3 linked regions of the Kluyveromyces lactis genome follow. The protein of the gene in region 2 binds, or shares a complex with, the protein of the main gene of each other region. Links are inferred from orthologs where the notes say so. Each region holds a gene or a part of one and is shown on either strand. Other genes may lie near its edges.

Region 1 (3,195 bases), on a different chromosome or scaffold from region 2:
ACCGATTTTGAAAACAAAAGATTTATCTACCCACTATGAGTTACCTTTAGTAGGAGTGTATAATTTTGGGATGGAGCAACTATCATTCTGTAAATCGTTCGTCAATTTCTACAAATTTACCCAAAGCTCTGTTCTTTTCAACTGCATATATCCACATTTCTAGAACGTCATTTTATGGAAATATTGTATATTTGAAAATGGGGCATCGCTATGTGGACGAGTACGAATAGAGCCTTTCACAATCCATAAATAGCTCCAAAGACACATAAGCAGAAATTTCTTGTGTTATCGTGGAAGCTATTACTATGGCTTTGTTGATCCTGCATATCAAATAGCATTAACAAGCCACTCTTTCTTTTAAGTTGCTGAAATATCAGTTAATAACTGTCAGTCCAATTATTTCCTCAAAAGAACATTGTCTTGCTACACTTCACTGCACTATCCTTTGGTCCTTAGGATCAATTATATAAGCGCCAAAATAAAGAGGTAATGAAGATCAGTTTTGAAATTGGCGATAACATTTTATTTCGGCCCTATGCTGTGCTATACCATCCTGTCTCTAAGACAGTTCCTAATATTATATCATTGAGGCCATTCTGTTAAGGAATGCTGTTTTTTTTTATATTGATTCCAGTGCATGTTGAGGCAGGAGTAAGGATGTGAGAAATCTAGTAACCTTCTTCGGGTGATACAATGCGTATGTCGGCTTTCTGCTTTTACAGTACTTGATTGTTTAATAAAGTCCTTCAGCTTGCATGTTGTTGTTATAGCCGAGTACTCTTTATTTGTAGAATACACAATCACGAACATCAAGCATAGTATGCATTGCAGTTCAATAGCAAATTTCAATATGGTAGATTTCTAACCATTTCATTCAGCCAGAAGTTCTGTTAGAGATAAGTTTACGATGTAAACATTATAGTACTATTATAATAGCATACATTAAAACTGATGTAAATTTCAGATTTCAAATGTGCGAAATCTGTCCCACATACCTCCTGAGATCTACTGGCATATCAGAAGTCTTATCACGACTTATTACCAACTCGTATTTCTTTAAATGCCTAACTGCACTCCAAACGGCCGATGAATTGTTAAAGATGACAATCTTATGTTCAATAGACGATAGCTGTAACTTTAAATGATTTCCTAAGTGGGCAACTTCTGGTAAAACTAACATTACGCTGTCTTTTGATAGTTCTTCTTGCCAATTTTCGATCTTATCGAACAAGTCTTGTGTAAGAACGTAACATTTCGACTTTGGTTTTACGTCTCTTATATTCGGGTTTCGCTGGCCACGATACAGATATAATAAATAACCTACAGTTACTGCCACTGTCGATAATACCCCAACAGCTATAATCGAAAGCTTCTTTTGCCGGGCTTGCTTCATAAGGGACTTGTTTAGCCAATTGGTGGTTTCCTTATCTCCTCGCATATAATGGCAATGAGGTTTCTATTTATGATTTTGATTCCATTTCACTTGTTTTTATAAACAATATATCAGTATGTACAATACATAAATAAGTAGAAACCAGAGAACCGTCAACATCTTGAACCCTTAATCTTTCGGCAACCCACAATGATAGATTCTCCTATTTTTTATGCGACGACTGTCCATTTGGATCATATTGTGACGGCTTTGAATTGTTTAACACCTTTTGGAGTGAAAGGTGAAATGCTCATCACCATAGATAAAAATGGTTTGTCCTTTGCCCAAGAAAACAATCATGTAATCAAGATCCAATTGGTTCTTTCACGGGAGTTATTTCAAACCTTTCACTATAGCCCGATAACTGAAACATCTTTGACCAAGGTATCCCTGCGGCTTGACCATGTATTGGATAGTTTGAATATCAGTAACGATCGGAACGATATAATTGAGTGTACTTTAACATATAATGGGGATGGATCCCCATTCATATTAATATTCGAAGATAACATGATCACTGAAAGCGTCGAATACTCAACATATCTGCTCAAAGACTTAGACAACACTGGGTTGGTACTAGATAGAACGCGACTGCAATTCGAATGCATAATAAAAGGGGATGTCTTACACAATGCCTTACACGATTTGAAGGAAATTGGATGCAAAGATTGCTATTTTTATGCGATACATAACGAAACCACCAAAAAGCCCTTATTCGCATTGATTTCAAGATCTCAACAAGGTTTATCTAAGATCATATTACCTAATGAGAGATCGATTTTAGAGAAGTTCGAAATATACGCAAATGATTCAACCACCCTCTTATATGATCATCCAATGATAAGTGTTTTTGATTATGGAATGCTAGACAAAATACGAGCCAGTGCTCGGATTGCTTCAAAAATCATGATACGTAGAGATGTACATGGTTTGATGACTGTTAATATATTGAATGAAACGAAGGATATACTAAGACCTAATGACCAGGAGTATAAGAGGACTAGAGCCATTTCAGGTAACAATCTACCAAGTCATTATCCTGGGATAATTATTGAGATATGCATGCTTGAGAAAGCTCTTCCAGAGCTTCCAGACGTAAATGAGATAAAAGTAATGATGATTGAATATATGGGAAGTGAATCGCGCCATAATTTCCTTCCCAATACACAACAACCGCCGAAGAAAACTGCACATGACGATAAAGAAGAGGAAAATAGTGACGGGTATGAAGCTGCTTCGCAAGATTTGCCGCTATTCTTCTAGCGCAACCCTGCTTCGACAAGCTGAATTAATCAGGTTGGAATTAACGTCATTTTAGGTATAGATGGAAACTATTTGTAAACATATAGATACCCTAGAATATATATACAAACTATAAAATAGAGCATTTTATCAAACCAAACAATGTCCATATTCCCATGAAGAAATCTGTTTATGTTATTGTTGAGTATGAGAAAAATGAGTAAAACAGAAGCGTTAAATTGGATTTGAACATAGATTCAAAATCCACTCATTTATTGTTGGCTGAAATGTTCCAAAAGAATTTCTCTTTCTTGGGTGTCAGCACCCCAGTTCTTAACAACAACAACGGAAGCACCGACGACCTTTCTGGCGTTACCGTCACGGTCGATCTTACCCAAACCGGCCCATTCACCTAATTGCTTGGCATCAGCAACCTTGATTAATGGAACGTTGTTTTCAGTGGCCAAACCTTGGACCAACTTGCTGATGGCTTCTTCAGTAACCGATTCAACCAAAACAGC
Region 2 (6,583 bases):
TCCACTTCACCTGCCAAGAAGTTACACCACTCCTCAAAATGATCGCCATCGTGTAGTTTTATCCATTCCTCATGTTTCCATTCTAATTTGTCTGACCTGGGCAAATCGTGCGCCCATTTCCAATACACATACTCTGCACACCACATATGAGTGACCCATTGTCCATAATCAACAGAGGCGGGCATCTTTTCCAAGAAATCAAGGTATTTCTGAACCTTTGGTAACACTTGGGTCTTGAATCTTTTAAGAGGGTCCCGTTCAGTTATCTGTAAACATTGATCAAAGTAGTCATTCTCTTCACCTGCCAAGAACCCAACTTGTTTACAGAGACGTAGTAAAGCTTCCTCACTTGGTGCTCTTGAAGAGTAAAAAGCGAGTAGACGGAGGGCTAATACGAAGAATTTTTTGTCTTGAGCGCAGTAGATATATAGAACATCATCTGATAATGTTCCATTGCAAAGCTCTTTAGGCAAAATATGATTTGTGACTGATTGCAATAGAGCTCTGTTTGCATTAATTAGCCTTTCAGTAGTGGACATAGTTGATAACGTTAGTTTGATGGCTTTCATCTCTTCTAAGATGTGTGTGGTACTGGAAATACTTTGATGTTTGGCGAAGCACCTGCTTATATATAATTGTTTCTAATTTCTAAGAACACCCCATGCTAATTCGGGGCAATTGTAACCGCACACATCATATTCGCTGGAAAATGGTATTAAAAGGCAAATAATGAGATTTGGTATGACTATATACAGAATTAAATATAATAAATTGATGTGAAAACCTCTGATGGGTTCAACGACGTAAAAAGGATTGAAAAGCGTCTTGATTGATCTGGATGTTACCGACAGTTTTCATGTTCTTTTTCCCTTGTTTTTGTTTAGATAAAAGCTTTTTCCTACGTGAAATGTCACTTGCATGAAGCTTGGATAAAACATCCTTTCTCTTAGCTTTTATTGTCTCTCTTGCAATGATTTTATTATTGGCTCTGGCTTGAATGACCACTTCGAACAATTGAGATTTTATGAACTTTTTGAATTTTTTTACCCATTCCTTACCGATATGCTCTGTTTGATCTCTGTGCATAACTTGTGCAAGAGCATCCACACTTTTACCATTAACAAGAAGCTCTAGCTTCACTATATCGCTTTGTTTGTATCCTACATCTTCATAATCGAGAGAAGCATACCCTCTGGAAACAGATTTTAATTTCCCGAAAAAATCGTCCACTAAGTAAGAGAGCGGTAGCTCATACCTTAGCATCACCTGGCCAGTCATGTTCAAGTATGTAATCTCTTTCTGGACTCCATGGCTGTCATCACATAATTGTATTACTTTACCGAGATATTCCTGGGGTAATGTCATGATAGCTTCGACGAATGGCTCTTCAAGAGACTCGAGATTTGATCTCCGTAAGGAAAGGTCGGGGAAGTCATCAGGATTTGTTATAATTTTCTTCTCGCCATCTTTGAACTTAATTAGGAATGGTACAGTAGGTTGCGTTAAGATAAGCTTGGATCCATACTCTTTCTCTAACCTCTCCGTGAAAACAGATGCGTGAAGAGATCCTAAAAATCCTAATCTCCAACCTTGGCCTAGTGCATTTGACGTTTCTCTTTGGAGGGACACTGATCTATCATTTAAGACGAGTCTACTAATATCATCGTCTAACGCTTTGAATTCGGCCCCATCAGCAGGGAAAGCTCCTACGAAGACCATGGGTTTTGGTTCTTCAAATCCTGGTAACACTTCAGTAATCGATTCTTTACCGAGATGCATCAAAGTATCACCAATCTTGGCATCCTTAGATTCTTTCATGCCAGGTACCAAATACCCGACTTGACCTGATTTCAGTGTGTTAGTAGCGACACGATCTGGGTACATTATACCGCATTCCCTCACTTCATACTTCAATCCATTTGCGGCAGTGATGATTTTATCTCCTCTTTTCACTTGACCATCAACTATATGTACAAGAAGCACCACTCCTAAATAAGAGTCATACCACGAATCCACCAATAATGCACGTAATGGTTTCTCAACTTTACCGGTCGGAGGAGGTATTCTATCAACAATAGCGGGTAACAATTGCTCGACGTGCAATCCAGTTTTAGCACTAACTTTGATACAATCTGACTTAGGTAGCTCGAACATATTTTCAACCTGTTCTTCTGCTTGGTCAATGTCAGCAATGTCCAAGTCAATCTTGTTTATGACAGGAATAAGTTTCAAATCCATACTATAAGCGAGGTAAAAGTTTGCGACTGTCTGTGCTTGAACACCTTGGGAAGCGTCAACGAGTAACAAAGCGCCACCACACGATGCATACGATCTTGAAACTTCAGCACGAAAATCCACATGGCCCGGTGTATCCACTAAATGTAAGAGATAGTCCAATTTCGTTCTAGGATCCTGGTAAAACATGGAGCATGTCTGTGCTTTGATTGTAATCCCTCGCTCTCTTTCCACCTCAAGCTTATCTAAAACTTGCTTACCACCTGGCTTAATCACGTTAGTGAGCTCTAAGAGTCTGTCACTGAGTGTAGATTTACCATGATCAACATGAGCCACTATAGAAAAGTTACGATATCTTTCAATTGGAATGGCATCGATCCTCTCTTGTAATGAATGATTACTTCTAACTTGTTGAAAGGCATACCTCACATGTCGAAGCAACCTCCTATTGAACATAATTATCGGGTCTGAAATTTAGAACTCGTAGCTCTATAAGCCTTTCTCTTTCGTCTATCGTTTAACGTCTAGAATTTATGTTTATAGATCTTCCAGTCATTAAACATTGTTGGCAACGAATTGTTTAAATTTGATGTTTATGGCCGTTCAGATCTAAAGTTCAACTTTAACTCATACATACAAAGGGAATAACAAAAAAACGTGATAGCAAGCTAATCCTCGGGACGAATTTTGCAATGAAACTAAAACTAAGTATTCAAGCAGGTACTGAGGACTACTCATTGTTCAGGACAACGTTGATAACGGTGTCCAAACTACGAAAAACATGTATTTTAAGATTTACCTCTTCTAGGCTGGTCATTATATCAACACCAAACAGTACAGGAACGGTCATAGATCAGGGTCAAGTTTGGTGCACAGTCCCACACGATGTGTTTGACACATATGTAGTTAATTCAATTCGAGAAGATAATAGAGTCGCCATGGAGTGCCCCTGTGATACTATTGTCGGCGTGCTGCGGAAATTCGATAAATGCAACGCAACTCAATTGACCATCAAATTGGTAAGATTGGTAACTGTTGACAAGGAAAGTGAAGCAGCTGCAGCTGCTCACAATACAGACAATACACTCTGCGGATTAAGCTTTTCATTTCAAGATACACGAGATGAAAGGACGATACAGCATAATATTAAGGTCGGCGTCAAATTACTGTACAATGCTCAAGACGAGAAGATAGTAGAACCAACAGTTAATTATGTGGGGATTTTGATGTTACAACTTCCGAGTCACGTAAGTGAATGGGGTCCAGGTTTTAATGCGTTTTTTAAGCGAATAGAACGATACGGAAATGTCAATACACTCAAGATACATGGCGAACAATTGGGCGAAAAGGGTTCACTGAAGGTAATTGTTGATGAATTTGACTGGAAACTTAACATCGCATGGAAAGGCCCGTTAGATGCAATGCTCAATGATATGGAAGGTGATGATTCACACTCTGATCCAAGAGATGATACGCTTCGACACAACGGTGAGACAAATGCAGAGTCATCCCCATCACCGGTAGCATGCAATGAAATGCATATTGAGGACAGTGATGTCTTGGACACTGGTATACACGGAAAATCCATTGATCGACATTCAACAATGCTAGAAAACGCTTCTGCTAGGCAATCACAAGACAAGTTGAAAGGTCACGAGGTTATAGTAAGGGTTCGTGATTGGAAAGTTTGTTCTAAACTTTATGAATCATTTGAAGAAGTCGTTCTAGTGATATCACACGATGACTCTTGTGTTTTCCATTGCTCTTTGGAAAGAGGCATTGACAGAGATGAAAACAATAAGGAGAAGGGTCAAATTATTTATTACATAAGTAAATGTAAATCGTTAAACTGATCACGATCATTGATTGTTCTCTGCAAACTTGGTGACAAAATCGACTAACAGCTTAACACTAGACAATTCAACAGCATTGTACAAAGATGCTCTGAACCCACCTACTGATCTGTGACCCTTGAGCCCAGTTAGATTTAGCTTAGTAGCTTCTTCCAAAAATTTAGAATCCAAACCGTCCTTCTTAATGGTGAAGACTACATTCATTTTTGATCTGTATTTTTTGTCTACTGGCAGATTGTAGAACTCTGGGAATTTGTCTAGAGCTTCATACAAGATCTTAGCTTTTTCCTCGTTTTCTTTTTGTTGGCTCTCAATTCCCCCTTGTTCCAATAGGCGTTGTAAAACTAAGTCAATGATATGTAAGGTGAAGATAGGAATGGTGTTATAAGCAGAGTCATTTTTCACTACAGTTGGATAATCAGTGGCAATTGGTGAGACTGGTAGAGAAGCATCCCTCAATTGCTTTGGAGAAACTTTTGCAATGTCATCCAGTATGTCTTTTTTAATGATGTACAAGGTCAACCCTGCTAACCCAATGTTTTTCTGAGCACCCGCCATAATCAAGGAATAATCAGCGACATTGATCTTACGGGACAAAATGTCAGAGGATAAATCCGCGACGATAGGAACCTTTGAGTCAATCAATTCTCGAGGCAATTGCTCTGGCCATTCAACACCGTGAACTGTTTCATTTTCACAAAGATACACATATGAATGCTTCTTAGCATCCAATTTCTGGACCCAAGTGCTTGATTCTGGGATAGTTCCAAATCTACCATTGTCTTTCTTCACATTAAAGATAACCTCCGTTGGAACACCTAACCTTTCGCTCTCCTGAGAAGATTTTTCAGACCATGAACCAGTGATCAGGTAGGCTGCAGTACCTACCTCACCGGTCTTACCGAAATGAGCTGCAGACAAGTTGGATGCAACGGATGAAAACCCCGTGGTGCCACCACCTTGCAAGAAAAAAACTTCGTGGGTATCTGGAATTGCAAACAATTCCTTCAAATGAGCCTTAGTATCGGTAATAACCTTAGCAGCAGCCTTAGAACGATGAGAGATTTCACCAATACCCAGACCTTCATCCTGGAAATTGATCAAATCCTTGGCAGCCTGTTGTAAAACTGGCAATGGTAATTGTGCTGGTCCAGCACCAAAGTAGTTCGATTGAGGTCTATCCATTGGTAATATAATGTGAGTTTCACGGACTGGCGGCCTTGTAATATACTGCTAAGGTCTTAAATCTGTTAAATTGCAGTCAACAAGACGGCAACTTGCTTGATCCATCGTTTAATCATTTCATTTAAATATTTAATATTCGTATTGACTAATTATTACTTGTAATACAAATGATGATCCCCAAGTCTAAGTCACGTGAAATGGCATGGATCATTCTTTTGGAACATACAGAGGACTGTCTTCGATCCCAACAAACATCCATACACCATTATAATTCTCTTCATGAAATACATCCAGACATCCAACGTCATATTACACAAAAATATCTGAAACACCCGAAATATCCCTAAACGGGAAATTATTGGCTGTATATTTTAGAAAAGTTTCAGCAGTTTGTGAGGAGCTTAGAGGTCAAACTTATGGAAACTTAGTTTGTAATGAATTTGAAGGTCGAAATGTACTCTGTACATAAGATTAGACATAGCAAAGGTTTATTGAATCTCCACTCTTTTTGATTACATTAAAGAAGCAGAACAAACTACAGACAAAATGGTACGTTAACTGTGTAATATATTGTTGGACTGGCGAGCGTTTATGAAACAAGAATGCGAAAATAGCAAGATAAGAAGGCACAAATCATTAATGAATAAGGAGTTAAGAAAATATAATGGGATAAAGGACAGAAACACCAGTAAGATCAGTGGCAAATACTAGTACCAGAAGTATGTGTCGAACACATTATCATAGTTCGAAGATATCAAAACATATATGAGTTGAAAGTGAAGCTCTCATTCGTTGGAAAGAGCATCAATGATATGTGTTTTTTTTACTTATGGGCACCATAGAAATATAGTACTATAGTGGCAGAAAATCAAGGGAGCTTATCTGGAAATAGGAAATTCAACGATAGATACTGAGAGATCTTGTTCATAACACTGAAAGTCTATCCAACTAAAGAAGTTATGCCAGTTTCTCTTTTTGAAGAAGAGGAATAGGTTCAGAACTTACCTATGAAATTTTGGTTATTGGAATTATTTTACTAACAACTGATTCAAATTTGATCTTTGAATTATCTTAACAGGGTAAAGTTCACGGTTCCCTAGCTCGTGCTGGTAAGGTTAAGTCTCAAACTCCAAAGGTTGAAAAGCAAGAAAAGCCAAAGCAACCAAAGGGTAGAGCTTACAAGAGATTATTGTACACCAGAAGATTCGTCAACGTTACTTTGACCAACGGTAAGAGAAAGATGAACCCATCTCCATCTTCTCAATAAGCAAAGAATTAATTTTCAAATCATTCCTTTAAATTTTAAATCA
Region 3 (3,591 bases), on a different chromosome or scaffold from region 2:
TATTATCGCCAAGCTTCCTAACCTACTAAAGGAAGGAATATGGTGCTTTGGGGAATATTCCGAGTTAATTGATAACTGTGACACTCTCGTTGGCATACTCCTAAACAAAGCCAATAAACTTCCAGACACCGTGATACAGACAATGATTCCTGCATTAGTGAAATTATTCTCAACCTATGCTAACACAGAGGGTAGAACCAAATCTGAAATATCAGATCTTCTTTCTACACTAATCGCATTCATGGAACAAAAATACAGATCAACGAATTTTGATATACAAGAACGAAGCGTAGAGTTCTATGAAATGTTAAAACTCTGTCAAGATGCTTTGCAAGATGAAACGGAAGGGTTACCTCTATTAATTACCGACGTTTTACCTAGTCTTTTCAATGAGTATGAACTTGGCCCAATGTCACACGGACAACAACAGCAGTTGGTTAAGGCGTTAACACTCGATTTAGACACTCCATTTTTATCTTCTGTTGAACTCGAAGAATTAATGAAAAATGAAGAACTATATGAAGATGAAGCTGCATATTATTCCGACAAGGAGAGCGTTAAATCTGCTGCAAGCGCTGGAAGTTCTGACGGATCTGTAACTCAGGATATCTCGTCAGAGAAAGACATTTCAATGACAGAAGAAGAACTTGCTGCTTTAGAAGAGCGCAGAAGACAAGAGAGGTTGGATAATCCGTTTTATTTGAATGATGATAAAATTGACCGTGCAGAAACGAAATTGATAGAATTGAGTGATAACGATGATGAGGGTGAAACAAAAACAATCGAACCCGTCATCAAAATTTCGACGAAAAAGAAGAAATCTAATAAGTCACCATCTGTACAAATTTTGTCAGATATTGTAGTGGCTCCACCATCCACTATCACAAAGGAGGGGAAGAAGAAATCAAATACTTCTGGGCATTCAGATGCGATAACTCTTTCCACATCGAATAAATTCAAATCTTTTGATTTTAGTCGAAAGGATAACATTGATTACGACGGTGAATACACTGTTGATCAAGAGGAGTTGGAAAAGCTAAAAAATAAACTTGCAGAACAACACATTAGTGACAATTTAACAGCCATCCAAGATGACAAAGAAGAAGTCATAGTTATTAAAAAGAAAAAGAAGAAGAAAACCAAAGATGGCAGTAAGAAGGAAAAGACTAAGAAAAAATATAAAGAGCCCGCTGAAAAAGCTTCAACTCCAGCAATTTCTCTAGCTCCAAACGAATCATAATAACAGATTAATATAATCACTAATCCATTCGCACTATTTCTTTATAGACATAGGTTCAAATATTTAATCTGTAAAAAGATAAATCACGTAATTGCAAGAAAAAACACGAACTTTAGATCTAGTGAAGAGTTTTTTATCACCGCCAGATAAAGGGATTCTGACTGGAAGTTGTGACAACAGGCCATTGCAATGTCATTTCGTGCTTCCATAAACAGCACGAATGAACAGACCATATGGGGTAAATGCTTGGCAACTCTTTCTCAAATAAACCCTGATGTCTTCATAACAATCACCGAAAATGGTGTATTGATATCATCCATGAATGCAACAGACACGACCATGGCCAAGGTACGATTTCCTAAGTCGTTCTTTACAGAGTATCACTTCGAGCCGAAGAAGATTGTATTTGGTGAATCTGGAGTGCAGCAGATCACCGATTGTAATGACATTCTTCACACAATTTATAGTTTCAAAGCGAATGCAAAGTATCTTTCCCTATTATCACTTAAACAAGAGGATACAATTAAAGAATACATGTTAACTATCGACAATTGTGATAATTGTTCTGAAACTATAGCTAACAAACTCATAATCAAAATGAAGACAGCATCTTTGCTAACTAAAGAATATCAAGTTAATTTTGATCCATTGGAAAGTGTTCAGATCATATTAAGTCTGAAATATAAACAAAAATTCCTTTCAGTATACAACAACAAAAGTAAGGGCAGATCATTAGATCCTCGGTTAGTGGATTATTTCAAATCTTTACAAACAGAATTAGAACATGATATGTTTAATAGAGGTATCGCCAATGAACACAATATTGTGAGCACAGTGAAAAATACACCGTTGACGGTTAACGACGAAATCAACTTCTTAAGTTTTGATCAATCAATACTAAGAAACTTCATTGACTCTATTATGTCTAATGTGATCGAGGAAATAAAATTGGAATTGACGAGACATACTCTAGCCATAATAGGATTTACAAAAGCCGTGTACAACATGAAAAGTCAAGGGTACCTCAAACAAGCAGTTACAGTAACGAATACATGTAGCGCAAATGATCTAGAACATTACTGCATATTTTCAACAGAAAAAAACGACGGTTCGAGACCTTCAAGCAGATCACAAAGTATTAAGAAGAGCATTACGTTCAAATTACGAGATTTCAAAGTATTCTTAAATGGACTTAATTGTTGGAAAACAAATGACATGATAAGAATCTGGTTTTGCCAACCTGGTGACCCCATTCTCTTTGAAATAACAAAAGATGGGGTTGTATTGGAATTAGTGCAGGTAACTGATACCGAGGGTAGGGTCGAAGAACCAGAGGATTCTGTCACCCAATTTAACCTGTCACCAGAAAAGATAGTTTCACCAATCAAGAAGGATACCGTAGTGAAACCAGATAAGCTTCAAAGGCCGGAAAGTAAGCAGATGCTGTATCCACATACAAAACGCTCACTATTTATAACGGATGAGGATGGAGCAGATGATGATGACGAAGACGAAGAAGGAAGGCAATTCAGGTTTAAAAGGTGGGGGAAACAAAATAGTAACACTACTCCCAATTCAAACACTGGCTCCCAGTCAACACCATCGAACACAACAACCGAGCCGTCAATTAGCGAGCCAGTAAAGAGAATGAGAACAACTGTCGAATGGGGAGGAACAATTGAATCGAACAATGTCGGTACAGATGAATCTCATCAAAGAGAAATGAACAAGGCTGCTTATCTAAATAATTTGAAAAGACAAGCAATCCAAGAAGATCTCAATCTACAGGAAGAAGATGATGGCATGGGTCCCACACAAGCTGACAGACCTAAAGGTTTGTTCGACTCTTGATAATAAAGAACGAAAGAAGTACTTTATTTTTCATTTCGAAATGAATTCATAAACTGTAATTGAACATATAGACATATAATATACAGTACGTAAATAAACTTAGCATTAAATCTTAGATAACAGACCTACACAGTAGTGTAATCTAAGCCATGGGAGAAAGAATGTTGTTTTGTCGGCAGGTTACATTTTCTCTTGCATCTAGGCTGTCTTGGCGACATTGGCGTCAGTAGCGTCAGCTTTCTTGCCACCTAGATAATGATGGTTTAAATATCTGTAACCTTGCACAAGTTGGGCTGTTTCATTCACAACGTGACAACCGAATAACAAGAAGTTCCTTGGGGTAACAGCTAGGGAATATCTCATAAACACACCAGAGTACATCACTAGAGCCAGCGTCATAGGTCCAGAAATCATCTCCGGATCCTTCTTCAAATCGTAGATGGCAGCAATTGGGATACCGAAGTTTGAAACTGGACCCCAGAAATGTGTGGTGAAGACAT

The links.
Region 1: MEC3 (region 2) and RAD17 share a complex: the UniProt entries of both Saccharomyces cerevisiae proteins name them as parts of the checkpoint clamp complex. The link is inferred for Kluyveromyces lactis from reciprocal best matches to the Saccharomyces cerevisiae genes MEC3 and RAD17.
Region 3: MEC3 (region 2) and DDC1 share a complex: the UniProt entries of both Saccharomyces cerevisiae proteins name them as parts of the checkpoint clamp complex. The link is inferred for Kluyveromyces lactis from reciprocal best matches to the Saccharomyces cerevisiae genes MEC3 and DDC1.

Annotation. Positions count from the first base shown.
Region 1 is NC_006042.1:16,100-19,294, forward strand, and holds RAD17 (Rad17p), read left to right. Parts: upstream 1-1,582; coding exon 1,583-2,695; downstream 2,696-3,195. Other genes in the region: KLLA0_F00286g (uncharacterized protein), read left to right, coding at 1-39; ubiquitin-protein transferase activating protein PEX22, read right to left, coding at 968-1,438; RPS12 (40S ribosomal protein eS12), read right to left, coding at 2,947-3,195. UniProt on the Saccharomyces cerevisiae protein: Component of the checkpoint clamp complex involved in the surveillance mechanism that allows the DNA repair pathways to act to restore the integrity of the DNA prior to DNA synthesis or separation of the replicated chromosomes.
Region 2 is NC_006039.1:438,275-444,857, reverse strand, and holds MEC3 (Mec3p), read left to right. Parts: upstream 1-2,927; coding exon 2,928-4,088; downstream 4,089-6,583. Other genes in the region: PET18 (Pet18p), read right to left, coding at 1-569; GTPase GUF1, read right to left, coding at 796-2,691; SER1 (O-phospho-L-serine:2-oxoglutarate transaminase), read right to left, coding at 4,095-5,273; RPS30A (40S ribosomal protein eS30), read left to right, coding at 5,820-5,822, 6,352-6,540. UniProt on the Saccharomyces cerevisiae protein: Component of the checkpoint clamp complex involved in the surveillance mechanism that allows the DNA repair pathways to act to restore the integrity of the DNA prior to DNA synthesis or separation of the replicated chromosomes.
Region 3 is NC_006041.1:1,723,599-1,727,189, reverse strand, and holds DDC1 (Ddc1p), read left to right. Parts: upstream 1-1,429; coding exon 1,430-3,091; downstream 3,092-3,591. Other genes in the region: APL5 (Apl5p), read left to right, coding at 1-1,240; pyruvate transporter MPC1, read right to left, coding at 3,290-3,591. UniProt on the Saccharomyces cerevisiae protein: Component of the checkpoint clamp complex involved in the surveillance mechanism that allows the DNA repair pathways to act to restore the integrity of the DNA prior to DNA synthesis or separation of the replicated chromosomes.